Linked DNA regions of Drosophila melanogaster. The protein of the gene in region 3 interacts with the protein of the main gene of each other region in a pairwise test. Each region holds a gene or a part of one and is shown on either strand. Other genes may lie near its edges.

Region 1 (7,146 bases), on a different chromosome or scaffold from region 3:
GTACGGAAAGAGTCGAAAACTGAAAAATTGAATCTACAGACTTGGCTTTGGCAGAAAACGCCATTAATTAATGAATGATAACATGCAAAAATGATTACCGCATGCAAAACATGAACCGGAGACGTCGGTCAAAAAGTAACAACACAACAAAGAAATGAATGAAAAGTGAATGTCGCTGCTGCTCTTGCACTTTAATAAAAAATGTGAAATGAAATGTTGGTATCGCCGGTCGCCCCTCCTGCCACCACTGCCCAGAAAGCGCACGGAGTGGGTTGGGAATTAACAAAAATCAGGCGTTAAGCCCATAAATAACCGAATCGCGACGGGGAAAACATAAAAGTGTAGGGGATTAACAACTGGTTACAGCCATAACGATGAAATGAAATTATTTAACACCTTTTTCACGGCTCATTTCGCTGCTAATGTGCGAGCAAATTTGACCCACGCCTTTGACTGCTCTCGATTCCCCAGTTAATAGATCTATCATCAGCCCACCGATTGCTGTCCAATGCAGCTTATCAACTCAACCCCCCCCCCCCCCCTCTGCATTGTTCACATCTGTCACATTTGCAGCCCTTTGTTAACTGTCATACGAAACTATCTAATTTATTGCTGCGGCCGGCCTTTCAATTGTTGTGGCTGACTGAACTTGTCGACACAGTTAGGCTTCCAAGAAAGAAAGAAAGAAGATTGCCCGCGGGGGCTTACATAACACCTGACCCTGCCCGAAAATATATTTTTGGGGGATTACCTCAGCCCCAGTCCGAGTGACTCTCTGACTTTAGTGGTGTGACCCCAGCAGGGAACCGGAACCCTCCACAAAGGCCTTCCATATACAGCCGCCTGTGGAATATGTTCTATATCTCGAACTATATCGTCTCTGATCTCTAATGTCTGATTAGCTTGGCCGCTCCCATTCACAGAAATAACTATTTCCCACCCCAGGGGGTCTGAATGGCTCAGTACAATGAGTTCGAGTCAGGTTGGAAAACCATGGAAAACTATGCAGATCTGTTTCCTTTTCTTCCTAAGCCACGTCTCGCTGGGCGAACTCTGACCACTTCCGCAGCGAATGTGATTCTCAATCAGGCGCTCAAGTTCACTTCTCAGCGTGGGTCAAGTTATCCAAGAGCCTTCCAGATGAGGAGATTATGATCATGATCATGATCACTAATCCGATCCGATTTGAGACGAGGCGATCAGAGCCCATCAAGCTGTCATCCTTTCACTTTCGCTGTGTCTTGTGTACTTTGATGTAGGTCAGCGACTTAAGGATCAAATGCCCGAACTGGTCGAACCGCAAAGATTGCGCAACAGAGATTGGAATGGAAAATGGGATGAAGTTGAAGTTATGATTAACATGGAAGCAGAGTGAGAGGCGGCGGCCAGTGCGTTGACCATCCATCACGCGGCGGTGAATGGTGCAACTGGGGGATAGGCAAGCGGAACCAGCGGATGGCATCCACTTGATCGCATTTGTGAACACGTTGTGAACACGTTGTGAACTCAAGACGCCTCCTTTTAACTTGTATTCTAATTCAGCAGGTCTAATTCAGTTAGCCTGGGCAGCCCAAGCCCATTCGACTCATTGCCATGCCAGCGTCGTTTTGGAAGCTCCACTCCCTACGCTGCTCCACGCCTCCCACGACAGCCGTCCACTCTTTAGTTTGATATAGTTTCACGCATCAAATGCGAATCACAATTTTTAAGCGAAATCCGAAATCGAACCAATTTGTAACCACAAATCGGAGAGAAACTGCCAAAATCTGCGACGTGTGCGGCATTCCAATAGCCTGGAATCTATCCAGTTGGTAGGGAGGAGCCTCCGCACACGAAGAGAAGTTGAGAAAGTTCCATTTCGCTTTTAAAAAGAAATCATTTTCATTTGGCCTATTAAGTGGCTTCATTTTATTGTAAAACCCATCAGTTTGTACTGCTTAGAACTTTCTTTCCACATAACTATCTCACTTGCAAATACTCTTTCTTCCTTCCTTTTCAAATTGTTTCAACACTGTGACTCTTGATTTCTTGATTTTTATTGTTCCATCTTGGCTTGCAGTACCAAATAGATAGGGATAAAAAAATACATTGGACGCTAGAGCTTAAAACTAGTTTAATAATTTAGTGGTAACCATGGGAGGACGCGGCCGTTGGGCCGTAGCTGCTGGCAGGAGGCAGGTAGGTCGCCTCCGGTTCGAAAATAGGCGTGGCCGAGTCCCCGGAGTGGCCGGGTGGTCCGTATAGTTGCGCCGGAGCCTGGTAGTCATAGCCTGGCGAAGAAGGAGCCTGCAGGAATGTGGAGCTGGGCGTGGCGTAGTCGTAGCCGGAAATGGAATTCGATCCGGACTCGTGCTTGGCCCCTAGAAAGGCACTGGGCCTAAAAGGCGCCTTGGAGACGTCTAGGTCGTGGCTGGGTGCTCCGGACTGGACGGAGTGGTGGGCAGAGCTGAGAACGTCGGTGTGGAGAGCCTGTGGCTTGCTGGCCGTGTAGCTGAAGTGACCCAGGCCCTTGTGGCCCAGAGCATAAACCGGTGTTTCCCTCTCCTGCTCCCGATCGCCCTTGTGCTCCTGCTCCAGCACCTGCACTTGCACTGGCTCCGGCAGTGACTCCTGGTGATCGTAGCCGGGTATGAGTGGTACGCCGTAACTGCTCAACGGCACTCCCTTTCCAAAAGGCGTGGCGGGAGCATCGTAGGAGTACCCAGAATGCTCCTCCGCCGGCTGGGGCAGCGCGTGCTGTGGGAACTGTCCTCCCGAAGAGTGACCCAATCCCAGGGCGTGGCTCAGACCGTGCTCCAAGGCATGCTCCAGACCGTGATCCAAACTTTGGATAGGTCCGTGACTGACTGGTTCATGGGCGATGTGATGGCTGGGGCCATGGCCAAAGTTGTTGCCATAGCCGTGACTTTGCAGGTGGCCACCGTAGCTGGGTCTGTGGGCTGGTGCCGATCCGTAGCCAATTCCGTGGGTGCTGCCCCTCGCTCCGTGGCTGTGTCCGGAGTACTCGGGAGTGGCCACCACATATGTGCTGGTCTTGTGTTCATTCCCAACGAGATTCAGATAGGCTCCACTGGTAGATGGTGCGTACTTAAAGGCCAATCCAGATCCATGCCCGTGACTCAGGCCGTGACTGATTCCATGACTGATCCCGTGACCGATTCCATGTCCATGTCCCTGACCATGGTAGTTGTGACCGGAACTCGAGCCGCCACTTGTTTGAACGATGTAGGTTTCGATTTTAGGAACTCCACTACCGCTGTAATGATGGGGCCTTCCATGGCCACTGGAACTGGCGTAGCCGTGGCTTCCGGAGTGTCCGTGTGCGAAGTGGTGTCCGTAACTGCTCTCGCCCTTGAAGTGACTGGGGTAATCGGAATAACCAGCCGAGCTTCCATGGAAACTGCCGAGGTTAAGGTGACTCTCATAGGCGGGCGGCAGATATTTGTGAGAAGGGCCGTGATAGCTGGATATTCCTCCGAAACTTAGGCCAGCATCTCTTTTTGGCTTAGCGGAGGATGAGGTCTCAGCCGAAGATGAAGCGGGCTTTGAAGAAGAAGCATCGGCAGCTGGAGAAGATGAGGCGGCTGCCAACAAAAAGAAGCAGCAGCTTAGCACAGCGCAAGCTAACGGTAGTTTCATGCTCAAGTCACAGCAAAAATCACGGAAAAAAAAGTGAATTTAACGGTTATCCTTCGATCGTGTTATCGGTTATCCTTGTTCCTCACGTTGGATCCGGAGTATAGAACGAGACGAGACGCGACTCTAATCGCTGCCGTTGGCGTTATGTTGACGAACTCTGTGAGTGCCGACCCTTTTATACATTTTAAAGAAGCCACTTCAAACTGCAAGAAACTCGGTTTTTGCCTTTGCCTCTTGCCATGCTGCTCTCTTGGCATTCTCTTTTTGTCGCTCTCACGCTCACGCACGCGAAAAACAACGGTATTTCGTGTGTGACGCCGACTCCGACTGCGCTGCAGCCTTTCTTCATTCCCTCACTCTTAGTTTCGTTTGCGCACAGTGGGTTAAATTCACGTGTGCATAAATATTCAATGGTGTGACCTAGCTCCTTAAAAATACATACGACTTGAACAAATGTATACAAAATAGATTTTCTTGATAACGCTATACATTTAATTGTCTTTTAGATTCGAAAAATAAAGAATTTAAAACATTAATATTTAAAACTATATTACAGCATTATTCGAATTAAAAAACGATTTAGATTTCCAAGTCATAAAACTGTTACGGTTGCACATTCACTGTTCTCAATGTTCTCAAACTGTAACGACATCCTTGCTCTCTCTCTCGCGCGAAGCTGTCGCTTTGGTTAGTTTGATTTGCGATCAGCGTGTGCAACTTACATATATTGTATGGGCTCCGGGAAATGTGTGCCAGGGATAAAAGCATTTACTTAAACTAAACAAGGAACACGTTTGTACAAGTTGTGGCTGAAATAGTGATATTTACGAATTCATAATTTTGTTGCGACTTGCGGAATATAACGGCTCTCTAGCGATCGCTTTGGTTCATCTGAAATATAGATAACTACGCATTTGCAACTTGCTCAAGGCTTGTGGATTATAACGGTTCTCGCGTCGGCTTCGGTTTCCCCCGCGCCCCGCGTTTCATGAAGCAGGCAGATGAAACGAAAGGCGTAAAAGGAGAGTGCAAGTTACCACCTAGTGATGGAAAAGGGTCCACGGTTTGTGGAAAGAAGTGGGCATCGTCTGTGGATCCTGGGCAAAACAAAGTGAGTGAGTTTTTGATTGATACTTACAGTTTTTGTACATACGTATGTACAATATATTCGATATAAAGATCAGTATTATATTATAATATTATATATCCTTATATTATAAGCCTGTTTGGACTTCAATTTTCAATAGCATTTTTACCCACTGTGCGAGTGTTACCACTCAAGTTCAAGTGACACTTTTAAAAATCACATGTCTGCTTACCACGCCCCTTGCCATCTTGCCATTTTGGCCCTGTTGTGTTCATGTTTCTTCTCACTTCCTCCTCCTCAGCTGGCTCACTTACATTTCCCCAAAAACAGCTTAGTTTGTGCGTAAATTGCATTTAATTTACAACAACCCGTATCTTTCTCCTCTGGTATCCCTTCTTCCTCTTCTTGGGTCTCTCTTGTGCACCCTACTTCGCCTCGTAATTGTTGCTGTTTTCCCAGGTGCGCGATTTTTTTTTCGAAATTCGAAAAGCGATTTGTTTTGCTACCGTTCGGGATCTTAATTTGGGTCTCTGCCGCAGATGATGATGATTTGGCAATAGTTTGAGGTATGTTAGTGCCCCTTTGACCCCGACCCCTCTCTACGGCACCGGTAACCCATGGCTACTAATGGACTTGGCCCGAAACCTTTGCGATATATCTGCATGCAGCCCACGACCATGGAAGATAAATGATGTGCACCTTGCCGGTCTTGCTTGTGTTGTCGTCAGACGGCCTTCAAGGGCAGTTCTTCATCACAGTGGAATTTAAGCCCATACATGTCGAGATTAGTAACTAAGAACTTGGCATTTGGACATGCAAATCTATGACAGAACAAGCTGATTCCAATTTCGGAATTGGTGTACATACAAATATTACCATGAAAAAATTGAGAGAATCCTCCTATTAGAGGACTCATTTGAATGTAATGGTAATGGTAGTGAACACATTGTATACAAGGTATCCTTCCGGGCTTTCGACTGGTCTGGTAGGCGTGGTTAGTTGCTGCCGGTACTCCTCTAGGCCCGCTTCTTTGGTCAACAGTCGTGTGCCACGGCTGAGATTTTAGTTGATGTAATTGCCCGCCAGCCGCTAAGACTCCGCCCTTCAGACAGTTGCGCAATCCGCTTGCCAAGGTCACACCTGCCACGTCGATCGAGTTATAATTTCACCGATTTGCGACTTGTGCGAGACGATTGTAATTGAGGCATTTGAAAGTGGCAACAAATTGCCAGACATACAACAGCACAGCCCGCCCATGGCAAAAGTCGGCCGCCTTCAAAGACAGCGGTCTCCCGGAGTGGGGGAGTCATCCCCAGCATTTCATTACCCAGAGACAAAGCTGCGCTTAAATTTGCCATGGGAAATGAACCTGTGGGTTTGACTCGGATTTTGACTTGGGCTGGGTATCCACATACAACTCCACAAACTCACATATGAAGAGCCTGACTTTTCTTCACGTTATAGTTTCTGATTGTACTGATTGATATTTGGTATTCAATAGCTTAGGAACTAACACAAAGAACGAGACATTTATGTTCACTCTGTAACCTAAGTTCTTACTAGATTATAGGCATTACTAGGCGATAGATAGACGTAGCCCCTTGGGTGCTGCGATCCCTCCGCCACTGGCTTATTATTATAGACATGCTCATGGAAGGTCGGCTCCTCCAGTGTCCGCTGCGACGTTTGCTCTGGCATGCCGTTGCCCTGCCCTTGGGCTATATGTTCATCTCCGTCATCCGTGTATCCGGCGAAGGGCGAGGGCCTGAAGGGCAGGCTAAAATGTCCAGCCTGCGGAGGAGGAGCTGACAGTGGCTGGGCCTGCAGTTGAGGAGTAAATAAGCCCACCAGGACGGAGGGTTGCTGGTATTGCTGCGGATATTCCTGCTGGTATCGCTGTTGCTGGTATTGCTGCGGATATGCCTGCTGGAATTGCTGTTGCTGATGTTGCTGATATTGCTGCGTCTGCTGGCGTTGATCCTGTGGAACTGGAGGAAAGGTCTGCGGGCCCGTGTAGCCAGGACTCAGTTGAGCCAGCGCCGTCAGAGAAGGTAGTGAAGGACTGGCTGTTGGCAGGATCAAAGGACGCCAGGGCATCGAGTACAGCCATGGTGGGTGGAGTTGTATCCCCGATACCTCCTGCTGGTGGAATTGCTGCTGCTGCTGGGCGTTCATCAATGCAAAACAGCTGATTAGGCTGATCAGGCTGACCAGGATGTCGAGGTGAAAAAACCTGAACATGCTGCTCAATATGGTTGTCTGTTGCAAATGCTTGCAGTGGCCCTGACGCTTTGGGCATATATAAGAAGCCACCCCGATGTCATTCGATACCTGTGGTTCCGCTGAAAGCGATACCTTCCACTTGCAACTCTTCCTCCTAGTTGCGTAACCTGGTATCTGCTGCCGAAGCAATTATCCAA
Region 2 (7,742 bases), on a different chromosome or scaffold from region 3:
CTGGATAGAGAGTTATGCGTTCCAAAAGGGATACCATTTTCCTGGCCACACGGCGTATGCGTTATGGTGAGCCGCGTTTATTGCACATACGCCATGTGAACCGCGGCAAGCGTGGCTAATCTAAGTCAAATCGATTTAATTAGCATAGCTGCCTAAGATGGCGTCAAGCTATCTCGGCTATATGCGATCCAATCAGGCATGCTAAATTCGCCTCCAATTAAGATTCGATTTATCGATAAACTTGTGTTTTGGCAGTCCACATTCTTTGCGGCTCGATTTGATTGCCCTTAATTTATGATAGCTTACATTGTGTTTTATTCAAAAGAAATTCGAAATATACGCGAGCATTTTTGAAATATTTTCCCATTCTATGTAGTTTTTCCGATTGTACTTTAGAATACAAATTGTGGCGAAAAAAAAGTAGTACCATTAGCTCGCTCATTTTGGCATTCCATTTCTCTCGGCTAACTTTCCCTGTCTTAAATTATGCTTGACTGCCCAGAGAATCTGACACATTTAATTGAAAATTAAATATTTAACTTAAAATGCCAAGTTATTCAAGTAGTGGACGTCATTTCTTGGGGTCGCCATCGGTTGGCGGTCGTTTTTATTGTCTAGGTTAGGTTATCAATTGCCGCTGCTTAGGTCCGCTTTCAGTACAGGTTCGGCTTTCCTTTTCCCGCAGCTTTAGAGCGTCTTGGCCCCTCCACAAAAAATACCGCCTGGCCCCTCTCCCCACCAGGCCCCCCTGCTCACATTTAAGCGACGAGCTTTTGACTCTCTATACCGCTTGGCCCGCTCAACGCTGAACGCTGAACGCTCGCCGCTCAGCCAAAGCGATCGCTCTTAGACGCGACGTCAGCAAAAAATTTGATGAGGGCGACAAGAACAACAAGTTAGAAAAAAAATAAATAAATATGTTTACATATACGAACTCGTAAAAAAATATAAAAGAAAGAAAAATGCTAGGGAAATTGACTGCATATTTTATTGTCCTTAAAAATGAAACAGACATCCAAATTATATGGTTTTTTTTTTAGAGAACTTATGCTTTGGCTATAATTTAAAAGCTACCCAATGTACCTATGGATTTTTTAAAATATTTATAAACTGCCTTGAGATTTGTACACTTATATATTTTTAACAGTTTCCCCCCTCTTTCAATTCACTTGAATTGCCAACATCAGCATGCGACGTAGAAATTAATTATCAAACATAAAACAAAACAAAAGCCAAAAAGTAACAGAGAAAATAATAAAAATGAAAAACATCCACACAAAAATCATCAACATCATCATCATCATCATCATAACCATCATCACCATCGGCAACAGCACACAGAAAACCTTGAGAGCAGCAGCAAAGCAGCCGAACAAAAAACAAAAATTGGAAAGAAAAAACCAAACCGAATAGCAAAAAAAAAAAAAACAGAAAAAAAACACTTTTATTGATCGGAACTCGGAACTGGTAAATCATTGAAAAATTGTTGCCAACAAATACCTGATGCTGGGCTATTTATATTTACTTTTATTGCTATTATCATCCAAAGCTCAGTTCCATCGCACTCTTTCCATGCTGCCCACAAGTTCAAGGGAGGCTAAGAACCCATCATAAAGTGCTCCGCCATATAACATCTATATTCATTGGAATCCGTTGATCTTCGCACACCCATTAAAGCGCAGATCTGGAATTTTGGCCATAATCACACTTCCCGCTTTCGTGCTTTTTGGGTATGCCGAAGTCGAGAGACTCGAGTTCTTCACGCTTGTTTTGTTTTTCTGTTTTTTCTTTTCTTATTAAAAAATTAAATAAGTCGAAAAAAGAAACTGGAAATTCATTAATATGTTAATTTTATTTGTCTTGCCTCATTGATTGTGTCGATGCGAATGTGATAGTTTTTTTTTTGTATGCATTTGTATGTGTTTGTGGATGGGCAAACACGTTAATGTTGGCTAAGCAGATTTTCGAAGGATGACAAACACAGACAGTGGGAATGTTTTTCGTAAATCGAAACTTTTCCCAACTCAACAAAAAACTGAATCGTTCTCGGGTTTCGATCGCGCAAAAATGCGCGCACGCGCCGCTGATTTCAGCACATATGCTCGTACTCGTAGGCTACACCATATAAAACCAATTCTCTGCACAAGAAAACATCGAAATCAGTGAACAAAAACGGAAATGAAACAGGATCACAAGAGTACCAAAAGTACTCTGATCAACAGCATCTAATGCCGCGCACTCAACAATACACCAACAACGGTTCACCAACAGCTGCTAAGCTCGAACGTTTCAACAATATTAATTTTGCGCTTGGTGGTTGGTCGGTTGTTGAAACTATATCTACACTCCAATGCACCAACGTAGAGCACAAAAAAATACTTGTTCAAGCTTGTTCAACAACACACCAACAGCGGTATTTAAGCCCCATTGGGCTTATGAATATACATACTAGTCGTATAATAGGATAATTGGAGTTTTTCATACACCAACGTTTGGTTGTTGAAACTGTCCAACTGGAAGATAGCCCTATAATTACTATATGATTTAAGGTCACCGCCATCTACCTTTTTGATAATATTTCCCCTCGAGCGCGTTTTTGGTTTGTTGTTTCAAACTTTTTTTTTTACACTATAGCACAAGCACTGGCACAAAACACACACACGCAAACAAAAAAAAAGGCGGGGGGGTTGTCAAAACGAAGTTTGTTTGTTGCCTGTTTTATTTCGGTTTTAATTCCTCGTTTTGTTTTTTATTTTATTTTTTTTTTCAACTTTTATATGGGGCTCTGGGGGGCACTGTTTGATAATCCAATTCCATTCGTTAACGCGGCGCCATTTACGTTGCTCGAGCGTGTTCTTTGCATTTTAGCAGCGGCGGCGACCACGAAAAAGGCAAGTTGAAAGAGAAGGAAACTCGCACAATCGCTCACACACGTACGCAGAGCCAAAGAAACATTCAGATACAAATGCGAAATACGAATATACTCATAAAAAAAAAATAAAAAATAATAATAAATACGAAACAGCGACGGCTGGCGAACCGAATTCGAACTCCAAGCTCCAAGCGAACCGAACGAACACCAAGCGGACCAAGCGAACGTCGCGACGCGTCCGTCCGTACCGCTACAGAAACAAAAATTAATTACATATATTGAAATCACAAACTAAACTAATCAGCCAGACGACGAGCGGAGCAGCGACGGCGGCAGCGGCAACGGCAGCGGAGAGCCGAGCCGAGCGCGAATCAGCTGCCCGGAAAGCTAACGCTCCACTCACGCTCCACTCCGCTCCCGCTCCCGCTCTAGGTGCCGCTGCCCCAAAGAAGCAGAAATGGCAGGGAAAAGAGCGTGAAAGATGAAATATACAATAAAAGCTTCGCTCGTCACCGACAGCGGTGCGACAGAGATGGCGATTGGCCAAACGCCCACCAGCAGCGAGTGTGAGCGAGAGCGCAGCAACAACCTGCGTTGGAAAGCTGGCGAGACCTTGACTAAGGTTTCCGGCCGGGAAACCCTCGGCGAGTTCATGCTCACCCAGTACACCGGGAAAAAAGAAAACGTTGCTAAAACTAGAGTTTTGCACAAAAAATCACTTGAATCTCCTCTGTTTATAACAATCTCCAAGGAAGCATTATATAATAATAATAATAAGCTATCAATTATTTTGATTACACTTATCTGTAATAAATTTAGTAATATTTGAGTTATAGATTTGGAAATCTGAGATAAAGATGCTTAAAAAATATGCAAACTGTCACGAATCGCATGCTCGCAAACTGGTTTTCCCCACATTTTCTAGCAGTGCACATTGACTCTCTGCGCTCTCTGTCTCTATCGTTTTCTCATTTTCTGAGTTTCCTCTCTGAAAAGCTTTTCCCCTTTGCTAGAGTAGAGCCGCAAAAGAAGGTTGGTGTTTAGTCTACGAACTTGACGCTGGCGTCTTACACAATGCTGCTTCTTCTTGCTTCTGCTCTACACCAACACAGAGACATCGCAGCACACACACCCAAACAGGAAGAGAAACACACACACACACACGACTTAGAACGGGGGAGCACTCTCAAAAAAATTACACTCGCTATCGAAACGAAATGGAACAAAAAACACTCGGCCGTTATAGCGATATATACATATATATATATATATGTATGTATATATTATTATATATGGATTGGCCTGATACTGGCCAGATATTCCGAGCTCTAGCACTAACCTAGGAACTGGAAACGGTCTGGAGTGCCTGGGAAACCTTGAGAGGAGACTCCGCCGCCATGAGACTAGGGACTACGGAGACGCCACTTGGCCAAACGGGCCGCTTCCACTGCAGCAACGGCCGATGCGGAGCGACAACGCGTCGTGGGACTTGGACAGATGCCGACCGACTGCCATCGATGAAGCCCGGTCCAAAGATGTCGGATGGGTGGACGAGCAGGCGAACAGACGGACGTGCGAATGGACAGCAGCCAGGACTCTCGCGCTCAGACAGCTTTCGATGCGTTTCGGCGAGCGGAGCTTTTCATCCCCACTACCCCTCTGCCCAATCACAGCGTTTCCTCTCCCGATTTCCACGCTTTTCCAAAGAGCAACAGTAACGCACAGGAGTCTTAAGTGGCTGGGCAGACAGGGCGCATACGCAACATTCGAGACGAGTCAACACTCAGCCACAGCCGTCTCGCTCGCGCTCACGCAACTTGGCCACCACACTTGCGGTCACACAAACAGATCGCATACAAAATATCAATCATTTTATCGTCAATATCATTCATGTCATTTAATACAAATCCTTTAATGTGTACATATTAAATCTAAATTTATCAATATTTAACAAGTTAGCTGTTAAAACTACTCATAGCTAAATAGGAATATAAATATTTTTATTTGTAATTTACAAATGTAGAAAACTTCTTAATTTCTTTTGCATATTTAAATGATTTAATAAATTTAAATAAACAGAACCATAAACTATTTGCAATATATTTTAAATTTCAGTAATATAAAAATAAGCTATTTGCAATATATGTTTCATTTCAGCGATATGAAAATGACATAACAAATATGTTGTATTTAGTTCGTCTCACAGCTTCCAGGTGCTACAATTGCGACCTCAGGTGCGCAGTGATTCTTTCGGCGCTGTTTTGGCTTATGAGTTTTGTTCGGTTATCTTGCGATAAACACAATCAAAATAATAAACACAAGAAAATGCTGGATTCGGGGGGAGCGGATTGGCCAGAAGATGAAGTTGGACTAATCTCCGACATTCGATATGCGACTCTGGTTTCCTTGCACAGCAACGAGCGATAAAGTGTTGGAATTTTTTTTTAACATAATCGAACGGCGAGTATTTTTGAGTAGCAAAATCGCTAATTCTGAATTTGTTAGTGAGCCAATTCTGATAAGCGATTTAGGATATATGTAGTAAAATATGCATGTACGCATATAACTGCAAACAGCTTATCGCAATTTCGCCAGTTAACTTAAAGTTGAAGCAAACTTCAGAACTAGATTGTTTGAAGAAATAAATATATTTATGATGCGAACTTATCGAGTCGCCCGAATGGCAAATAACCTCAAAACAAACGAATAAAACCAAAGCGACTTAAAAGCCCCTCAAGACGTCCACTTCCTCGGGCATAGCGAAAATGCGAATCTCTTTTTCGGTCATCAGGTCCTGTAGCGATGCTAGTTTCACTGGCAAAACCTTGGCGCCTTCCATCAGTAGTGACTTGTCCCAGGGACACTCGTCCATGGCCATTATAAGGACTTCTTTGCTGCGCCTAAACGAGGCATTCGTTTTGGATAGGGCAATCATGTACAAGCGCCAATAGATGGAGTTCCTGCGCAGTATGCGATAATGCTCTTCCTCCACATCCAAACGATCTAAATTGGTCGGGAGAAAAGTCTCGACAATGCTGACCAAACGATTGCACACCATCTTCCTTGTGGCTTCCTTTGAAAACTTATCGTTGGTATCTACGATTCCAAAGCGATTGTGAATCGCAACGACCAAGTGCGCCAGTGAAGCGATGCCGGCTTTGGTGCGTATGAGCCGGCTACGCTGCTTGTGCCACATAATCGATTTTAAGCTGGCCCACAGCTGTAGAAACACCATATTTCGTGGAAACTCTTCGAGTCCATTCTCGAGCAGTTCATGTAGCTTGATCTTTTTGAATCCAGTATAGAATTCAACTTCGCCAAATACTAAAAAGGACAAACGCAGATGTAGCATCTGTATTTCCATGATCTGCTCCCTAAGGAAACGCTTTCTTTCGCTGTCCTTGACGGCCTCGGGACCAAATTCGTTATTCTGCAGGTCATTGAGCCACATTCTAGCCTCCTTATGACGACGATTATTCAGCACTTCGATCAAACAGATAGCGCGCAAGAGGATGAGCAATTTGTTGGGCTGGAAGTACTCCTCCAAAGACATCTCAGCTGGCTGGGTATCGAGGGATTTCAGTTCCGCTCGCACCATTTTCTCTGCATTTCTCAGGCCTTTCAAAACCTGTTCCTTGGAGTAGACAGTTGTCTGCTTTACTCCGGCATGTTTTTCCAAACACAGTGAAACGAGTATGCCGATGGCCTTAGATATGCGGCCCCTATGTATATGCAATTCTGCACAAACTAAATAGAGATGCATTGTGTCCACGCAACTAATGCAGCTGGATTCTTCCGATTTTTTTGTGATGATCCTCGAAATTATGGAAAAGCCCAGTCGGTAATGCTTAGCCTCAATTTCGCACAAGGCCTGTTCCGTGTAGAAACTAATAACATTTCGGTTCTCCGTCAAATTGATCAGTTTGCGCATCCGTGTTCGTTTATCCTTAAAGAATTTTTTCGTTAGCTTGCCCATGGACTTGTGCAGCACTATTAATAGTTTTTGGAATCGCAAATACAGAATAAGCAACAATCGTCGCTTGGACTCCTCGCCGATAAAGACTTCGACGCATTTGAGTAGCATATTACTCACGGTATCCGCATACAGTTTATGGCCAACAAGATGCGGCATGTAGCTGGGCGTCACGGACATCTCTCTGGCTAAGTCGATCATGGCTGCATCAAATTGATATTGCAACGAAGCCACTGCATAGGAGTGCCTATCTACTATGGCAGCGAAAAGCATTTCAATGGCCTCAGACTCGCCGAAGTCCTCGATGCAAGGATTCAATTTGTCCGCCAAACTAGCGCTGCGAATCAGGGGCAATTTCATTAGTTGAACAACCACGAGCACCAGGTGCAGACGATTATTCTGCGACTTGAGTGCGTGTACATATGGGACAAGTTTGTCGCTGCAAAAGTATCGTTCGGCGTTCATCTTGTTTTTGAAGACATTAGTCGACGAAGCCAGCTTGTCTTTCAACGGCAGGAAGCAGTATGCCTGTCTGAGCTGCTCCACACGCGTCCAGATCTCGGGCATCGGCATTCCCGAACGCAGCACCACTTCCTCGAATCCAATCAATGCTTTTTCTCTTCCTGCATGTGCTTGTAGGCATTCGAACGTCAGGTAGGGGAAATTCAACTCCATAGACAAACGAATCAGAGCAAACATCCAGTTAGTATGGCCCGATTGGCGTAGGAATAGTAAGCAATTGTGAAAAAGTTTTAGCATTATCACATCAGTCTCCTTAATGATGAATCTTCGGGTTATTTCATCGTTGTGTCCCACATGCATGCGGCGCATGCTGTACTCGTAAATCCGGAGCACAGCGGACACGTTGCAACAAGCCATGTCGCCTTGGGTGATCAT
Region 3 (7,040 bases):
ACTATCCCAAGCCCGCCATTCCATTCCCGCCACCCACTGCCCCACCGCAGAAGTACTTGCCACCAGTGACCACAACACAAGCACCACCTCCACCTCCTCCCACATCCAAGTACCTTCCTCCACCTCAAGTTAAGCAGGGCTATGACTATCCCAAGCCCGCCATTCCATTCCCGCCACCCACTGCCCCACCGCAGAAGTACTTGCCACCAGTGACCACAACACAAGCACCACCTCCACCTCCTCCCACATCCAAGTACCTTCCTCCACCTCAAGTTAAGCAGGGCTATGACTATCCCAAGCCCGCCATTCCATTCCCCCCACCCACGAATCCCCCCCAGAAGTACATTCCACCCGTTGTGCCAACCAGCCCGCCCACTCCCAAGTACCTTCCACCCCCTCAGGTGAAGCAGGGTTACGACTACCCTAAGCCAGTCATTCCATTTCCCCCACCCGCTCCCAAGTCGGCGGGCTATTCCTACCCGAAGCCGGCCATCGCATTCGACTTTTGAATAACTCATCCGTCGATTGGCCCTCTCATCACTGATTAAATGACACAATTGCCTCTGTGTGCGCATAGTGATCCTTAGGAACGTACGAAATTGAATAATTGTAGTCTACTGTAATATTTTATTTAATAACTATTATTAATGATTTACCGGGGATCTTGCCTGCGGAATCTCCAATCGAACTTAGTCATTAAAATATGTTTTTAAAACTTATGTTTTAACGATTACGCAATGCTGCCGAATTAAAAATGACAATGTGAATGTTATGTTCTTACTGTTTTCTTTCAGTGTGTCGAAGGGTAAGACGTCTAGTCTTAGAGTGAAACAGCAGATCCCATCTAGAATAAACTAAAAATTCGGTCGAATCACATACTTTTAGACATCGCAGTTTATAGTGCTGGCTTGCCGAAAAGTAGAGTACATTTGGGCAACAAGAAATTAATAATTCTGCTCAAACTTCGGTAACGCGATAGCATTGGAATCATTCAACCTGCTATTTTTTAGCCGGAATAACAAAAGTCTTTCTGTGATACGGATATAATGCTATACATTGAGGCTTTTTATATTACTAAGATAAATTTTTTAATAAGTCTGCCTTACAAAATAGATCCATAATTCACTGGGTTTTTTTTAACTCTGTAGTCTGCCGCGAGGGACTTACTACATAAATATACACTTACTATATGCTTACTACATCCATATAAATCTTACAAAGGCCAAAAAGTATGCCTCGAATTTTCTTATGGTTGACTTTGAACTTGAAGCTTCAGATGACAATGCACTTGCTGAACAAAAAATTAATTTCGAAGCATTAAACGAGTTTCCGCATCTCGATTTGAACTAGTTTTTTCAGTTGCTGTATCGTCTCCGCTTGACGACAGCTCGGTATTAATGCCTGATAATCATTGGCTTTAGTGGCCAAAACTTCTTATTCTATTATGCAATATTATTGTTAGGCAAATAAGGGGGCTCCCGTCAATGGGGTTTCCTGTTAGTCGATTAATTAATCAGGCAGTGGAAGTATTTTTCAATATTTTTTTTATTTATGAATTTATTAATTTCGTTTCCCAGATGAAACCCGTGAGTCAAATAACAGGATTTGGCTCGGTTCGCTGGGGGTTCGTTGGAGCCTCTAGTAACGGTGACGGCGGAGGACCACGCGACGCTGGGTCTTGTAGCGGTATCCATCGTTGGAGGAGAAGGAGTGGGCGGGCTCAGAGGCGGCGGTCTCGTAGCTCTCAGCTGGGGCAGAGTAGGAAGCAGCTGGGGCGGAGTAGGAGACAGCTGGGGCGGAAGCGGCACCGCTGTAGTACTCGGGAGCAGAGTAGCTCTGAGAGGGAGCAGAGTAGGAGACAGCTGGAGCGGAAGCAGCAGCGGTGTAGGTGGCAGCAGGAGCAGAGTAGCTCTGGGCAGGTGCGGCGTAGGACACAGCTGGGGCGGAGGCAGCAGCGGTGTAGGTGGCAGCGGGAGCAGAGTAGCTCTGAGCGGGGGCGGAGTACACTGGAGCTGGGGCAGAGGCTGCTGGAGGCAGGTAATCGTTGGAAGGCAGGTGGCTCACATCACGACGGTGACGGCGGAGCACCACACGCTTGTGGGTCTTGTAGCGGTATCCATCGTTGGAGGAGAAGGAGTGGGCAGGAGCAGAAGCAGCGGTTTCGTAGCTCTCGGCGGGCTCGGCGTAGGAGACAGCAGGTGCGGAATAGGTCTGGGCGGGAGCGGCGTAGGACACAGCTGGGGCAGAGGCAGCGCTCTGGTAGACTGGAGCGGGGGCGGAAGCTGCTGGGGGCAGGTACTCACTGGTTGGGGCAGAAGCGGCTCCCTGGAAGGGGGGCAGGTAGTCGTTGGAGGGCACGCCACGACGATGACGGCGAAGGACCACGCGCTTGTGGGTCTTGTAGCGGTATCCATCGTTGGCCGAGAAGGTGTGGGCGGGCTCAGAGGCAGCGGTCTCGTAAGACTCAGCGGGAGCGGAGTAGGACACAGCTGGGGCGGAAGCGGCAGCGGTGTAGGTCTGAGCAGGAGCAGCGTAGGTCACAGCTGGGGCAGAAGCAGCAGCAGTGTAGGTGGCAGCAGGAGCAGAGTAGCTCTGGGCAGGAGCGGCGTAGGACACAGCTGGGGCAGAAGCAGCAGCAGTGTAGGTGGCAGCAGGAGCAGAGTAGCTTTGGGCAGGAGCGGCGTAGGACACAGCTGGGGCAGAAGCAGCAGCAGTGTAGGTGGCAGCAGGAGCAGAGTAGCTCTGGGCGGGAGCGGCGTAGGACACAGCTGGAGCAGCATAAGACACCGCTGGAGCAGAAGCAGCAACGGAGTAGCTGGACTCAACGGGAGCAGAGTAGGAGGCAACTGGGGCCGAGGCCTCTACGCTGTAGCTCTGGGAAGGAGCAGAGTAGGAAGCCACGGGAGCCGATGCTGCTCCACGGCCGGGGGGCAGGTACTGGCTAGATGGCAGGTGGCTGACATCAGCGGCCACGGCGGCGATGAAGGCGCAGAACAAGAAGAATTTCTGCAATGGAGAAAATGGCACATATTAGCTGATTATCCTAATGGCGCACCGTTCCTGGTTAATACCATTTTGCTGGGTGCTCGGCTGTCCAGTTGAACGGAGAGTGCAAGTGGAAGTGATGCCTTAGACAATGTTCTGCGGCTTATTTATATGATTCTAATCACCGGCCTGCGGCGAGAAATTTGCATTTGACTATTTAATTTATGAATTTGTATTTAGTGACACCGCCAAAACATATCCATTATAGTTTTGCAAGCAGGTTTGCAACGGGTTTTGCGCTCTGCTCAACTCCAGCGAGATCATGAGCCACGATTTGGGAGTCCCCCTTTCACCCCCGGCCTAACCGCCAAATCATCCAAACGGCCACTTAATATTTTAAGTATATTTCGTTAATACTTAGTGGCCAAGATCAGGTTCCATTGTTCCCCTATCCGCACTTGCCAATTTCTCCCAGACCAAACGCGTGCCAATTTCGATTCCCAATTCCGACCCACCCCAGCTCAATTTGCTTAATTGTCGATAATTATATTGTGGCTTAATCAACTGGTACTAATCGGGTTCTATGACTTCGGGTAATAAAAGCAGATGTTCGATAGCGGAGCGGAGAAAAGGCTAAAAACAGTTGGTAAGAAGCGAAATGACTGCCGAAAAAGCAATCAAATTGCGGAAATAAATCACGACCTCAATGCCGAAACAATACATAGATGTGACTGTCGAAAGCGATTGTATATCACCGGCTGAAAGAAAACCTGAACAAAATGAACTGAATACACTTTTGGAAAAATTACCTTTTATGAAGAGTCGAAGGAAAACATTAATAAAACGGGGTAATTAATTCTATTCCTCGAACTAGATTCTGCTAACAAAACGTTTCTATATTTAATTGCAAATCGTATATAAATAATATATCCACTATAAAATAACATTTTAATAAATTACATAAGCGTTTAGGTCATAAAAACCTATTAAATTAATAACGGCATATTAAAAAGACACACCATCCAAGAAAGTTAACATACCCTTACTTTTGTAGGTAAATGGTCTAAAAGCGTTAAGCAGGCTTGAACTTTTTGAAGATGAGATTGCGGAAGCTTCGGCATAAATAGATTTCAATTTCGATTATGTGTCAAGTGTATATTGCTTCTCTAATCCCACGTTCTTATGTGTATAATTAGATCGTGAAATAATGAATATATTCTAGCCCTAAAACCTTTTTATATTATTACATTAAATTATTATTTTTAAATAGGTTAATACATGTTTAAAAACTTTGTCGTTTTTTATTATTCTCTGGTTTATATATTATCCGCAAAGATTTATGTTTTATCCGAATATATTCCTCCTTCAGTCAATTCTATACATATAACCTTTTATCACCCAGCTCGTACACCCAACATAATAAAATTAAAAAGAGCTGAATGTATGGATTCGTTATCGTATTATTGTATTTGAATGAAAAAGAGGTATTCTAATAGTAGGGTCTGCACTCAAAAATGAGCACAATTCGATCACCTAGTGAAGCCTTTATCGGATGATTTAGTGGCGGCGCAACACAACGCGCTTGTGGGTCTTGTAGACGTATCCATCATCAGCCAGGACATGGGCGGGAGCCGCCTCGACGGTGTTTTCCTGGGGGGCAAGGTACTCGGCAGAGGGAGCAGACTGCACGGGAGGCAAGTACTCGTTGGAGAGCTCGTTCACATCACGACGGTGACGGCGGGTTACCACGCGCTTGTGGGTCTTGTAGCGGTATCCATCAACGGCCAAGTCGGTCTCAGGAGCAGTCTCAGCGGGAGCCAGGTACTCGTTGGAAGGAGCTGCGAAGGGGGGCAGGTACTCGTTGGAGAGCTCGTTGACGTCACGGCGGTGGCGGCGGTAAACAACGCGACGATGGGTCTTGTAACGGTAACCGTCATCGGCCAGCTCATGGGCGGGCTCAGCCTCAACCACGACAGGAGCGGGGGCGGCCAGCTGGACAGGGGCGGCGATCTGAACTGGAGCGGGAGCTGGGGCAGCAACCTGGACGGGGGCGGACACTGGGGGCAGATACTCGTTGGAAGGAGCAGCAGCCTGGACTGGGGGCAGGTACTCGTTGGAGGGCAAGTGGCTCACATCACGACGGTGACGGCGGGTTACCACGCGCTTGTGGGTCTTGTAACGGTATCCATCATCGGCCAAGATGGTCTCAGGAGCACCCTCAGCAGGAGCCAGGTACTCGTTGGAAGGAGCTGCGAAGGGGGGCAGGTACTCGTTGAAGAGCTCGTTGACGTCACGGCGGTGGCGGCGGACCACCACGCGCTTGTGGGTCTTGTACCGGTAGCCATCATCGGCCAGCTCATGGGCGGGGGCAGACTCGGCCTGCACGGGAGGCAGGTACTCGTTGCTGGGTCCGGCGATGATCTGCTGCTCCTGGACGGGAGGCAGGTACTCGTTGGAGGGCAGGTGGCTGACATCGGCAGCCACGGCTGCGATCACGGCAAAAGCGACCAGGAAGAGTTTCTGCAAGAGACAGTTGGGAAATTTGTTTAGTTTAGTCCTTCAGTGGCGATTCGATGGCTCCTAAATTGTCGAATCGTACCATATTGTCCGATGAGTTGCTTGTTCACAGCAGTAAAACCGAAACTCTAATGAGGAATACGCAGAACCTTTTGGTATTTATACAGATTCTCCGCTCTTCGCTGGCTATTACAGAGCTGGCGTTTTTTGCGCCTCTGCCCAAAAAGACGTCGCTGCCGGCGCAAGCGTCTGTAAATTCGCACGACTTCGGCTTTGGTTTGGCTAAGCTACGGGTTCTAAGCCGCTCTTTTGCGGCTCAAACGCAGCTTGGCCAACACGATAGACGGCGACTGCGACGCTTACATTCGCACAAGCTATAGCTTCGGAGCAGTTGATGGCTAAAAAAAAAATGTTTAATGGCCAAAATCGTTCGCACGGATTCTCTTAATTGTTTTATTTAATCATATGCAAAAGATTTGATGGACATCAACGTTTTGGACAAGTCGAGCGCGCAAAGATACTCACATACAAATATATATAAACATATACATATATCCGTATTAACTTGGCTCTCGTCTTGTTTACACCTCTTTGTGTTCGCTCCACCTGCCTGGTTTCATTCAAGCCGCTATTGGAATTGCGCTCGATATAAATTCAAATGATGAGTTATATGTTTCAATCAAATTCGCTCACTTCAATAGCTTTCCGAATCGCCACTCAAAAAGTCGATTATTTCGATCGCAGCCTCTTCCCATTGTGGCGATGTCGTTCGCCGTTCATTAATCAACAAATAGGAACTGACCAAGCGAGCCATTCAATTTTTGGAAATATGATATAATTATGCCTGATGCGTACGAATTGTATAAGTTTGTAAACCGAATGCCGGATATAGGATGACGAGATCTTCAGAAGATCCCATTGTGAATTCTAAGAACAATCCGCTTTGTGCGGATGCGCGCTTATCAATTACTAAGTTTGAAATGGCTAATAATATTTATTGACATTAAAAAAGACAACAGTATGGATATGTCTAAAATATATAATTGTTATTTAAAAATAAAATTTAAGTTTTAATAAAACATTGATTTGAAATCGTAATAGGTACAGCTTACTTTTAAAAACATGTTTTCTTATAATTATTAATCGACCAATTTGGTTGACACAGCACACTTAATCCCAGCTTAAGCATTTTTCAATATCATCCAGATGTGACATTTAATCTGCAAGTGATTTTTTGTGTCACTTCTGGTTAAAAACCTCTCACCAATTGTTTCCAAAATTAAACATGGACATGCAAGGGATGTCCGAATAAATCAAGTTAATCTGTTTCCACCTGCATATAAGGAGTATTTATTTTCGCTTATTTATGAGTTAGTTTAATTTTAAACGCATGCGCCAGTTGATAAAATAGGATTGAATGATTAAATTGAAGATATTAATGCGTTTAAAAAAAGAAGGCAGGCCATCAAGTCAAGCTAATCAATTTGTTAAGAGTCAAAGTGCAGCAAATGATTAATGGTTTAACTTTGGCGGAGAGG

Evidence for each region.
Region 1: the proteins of CG11350 (region 3) and CG11382 interact in a two-hybrid assay, tested with the Drosophila melanogaster proteins (one large-scale study listed by BioGRID).
Region 2: the proteins of CG11350 (region 3) and gce interact in a two-hybrid assay, tested with the Drosophila melanogaster proteins (one large-scale study listed by BioGRID).

What each region holds. Positions count from the first base shown.
Region 1 is NC_004354.4:1,206,590-1,213,735, reverse strand, and holds CG11382 (uncharacterized protein), read right to left. Parts: upstream 3,767-7,146; 5' UTR 3,640-3,766; coding exon 2,122-3,639; 3' UTR 1,883-2,121; downstream 1-1,882. Other genes in the region: CG14624 (uncharacterized protein), read right to left, coding at 6,275-6,967.
Region 2 is NC_004354.4:15,294,406-15,302,147, reverse strand, and holds the start of gce (germ cell-expressed bHLH-PAS), read right to left. Parts: upstream 4,383-7,742; 5' UTR 4,212-4,382; intron 4,112-4,211; exon of another isoform or gene 3,931-4,111; intron 3,140-3,930; exon of another isoform or gene 2,565-3,139; intron 1,640-2,564; exon of another isoform or gene 1,526-1,639; intron 1-1,525. Other genes in the region: CG5877 (uncharacterized protein), read right to left, coding at 5,595-7,742.
Region 3 is NT_037436.4:4,478,878-4,485,917, reverse strand, and holds CG11350 (uncharacterized protein), read right to left. Parts: upstream 3,110-7,040; 5' UTR 3,075-3,109; coding exon 3,072-3,074; intron 3,007-3,071; coding exon 1,639-3,006; 3' UTR 1,548-1,638; downstream 1-1,547. Other genes in the region: CG13722 (uncharacterized protein), read left to right, coding at 1-509; CG7465 (uncharacterized protein), read right to left, coding at 4,543-5,505, 5,585-5,587.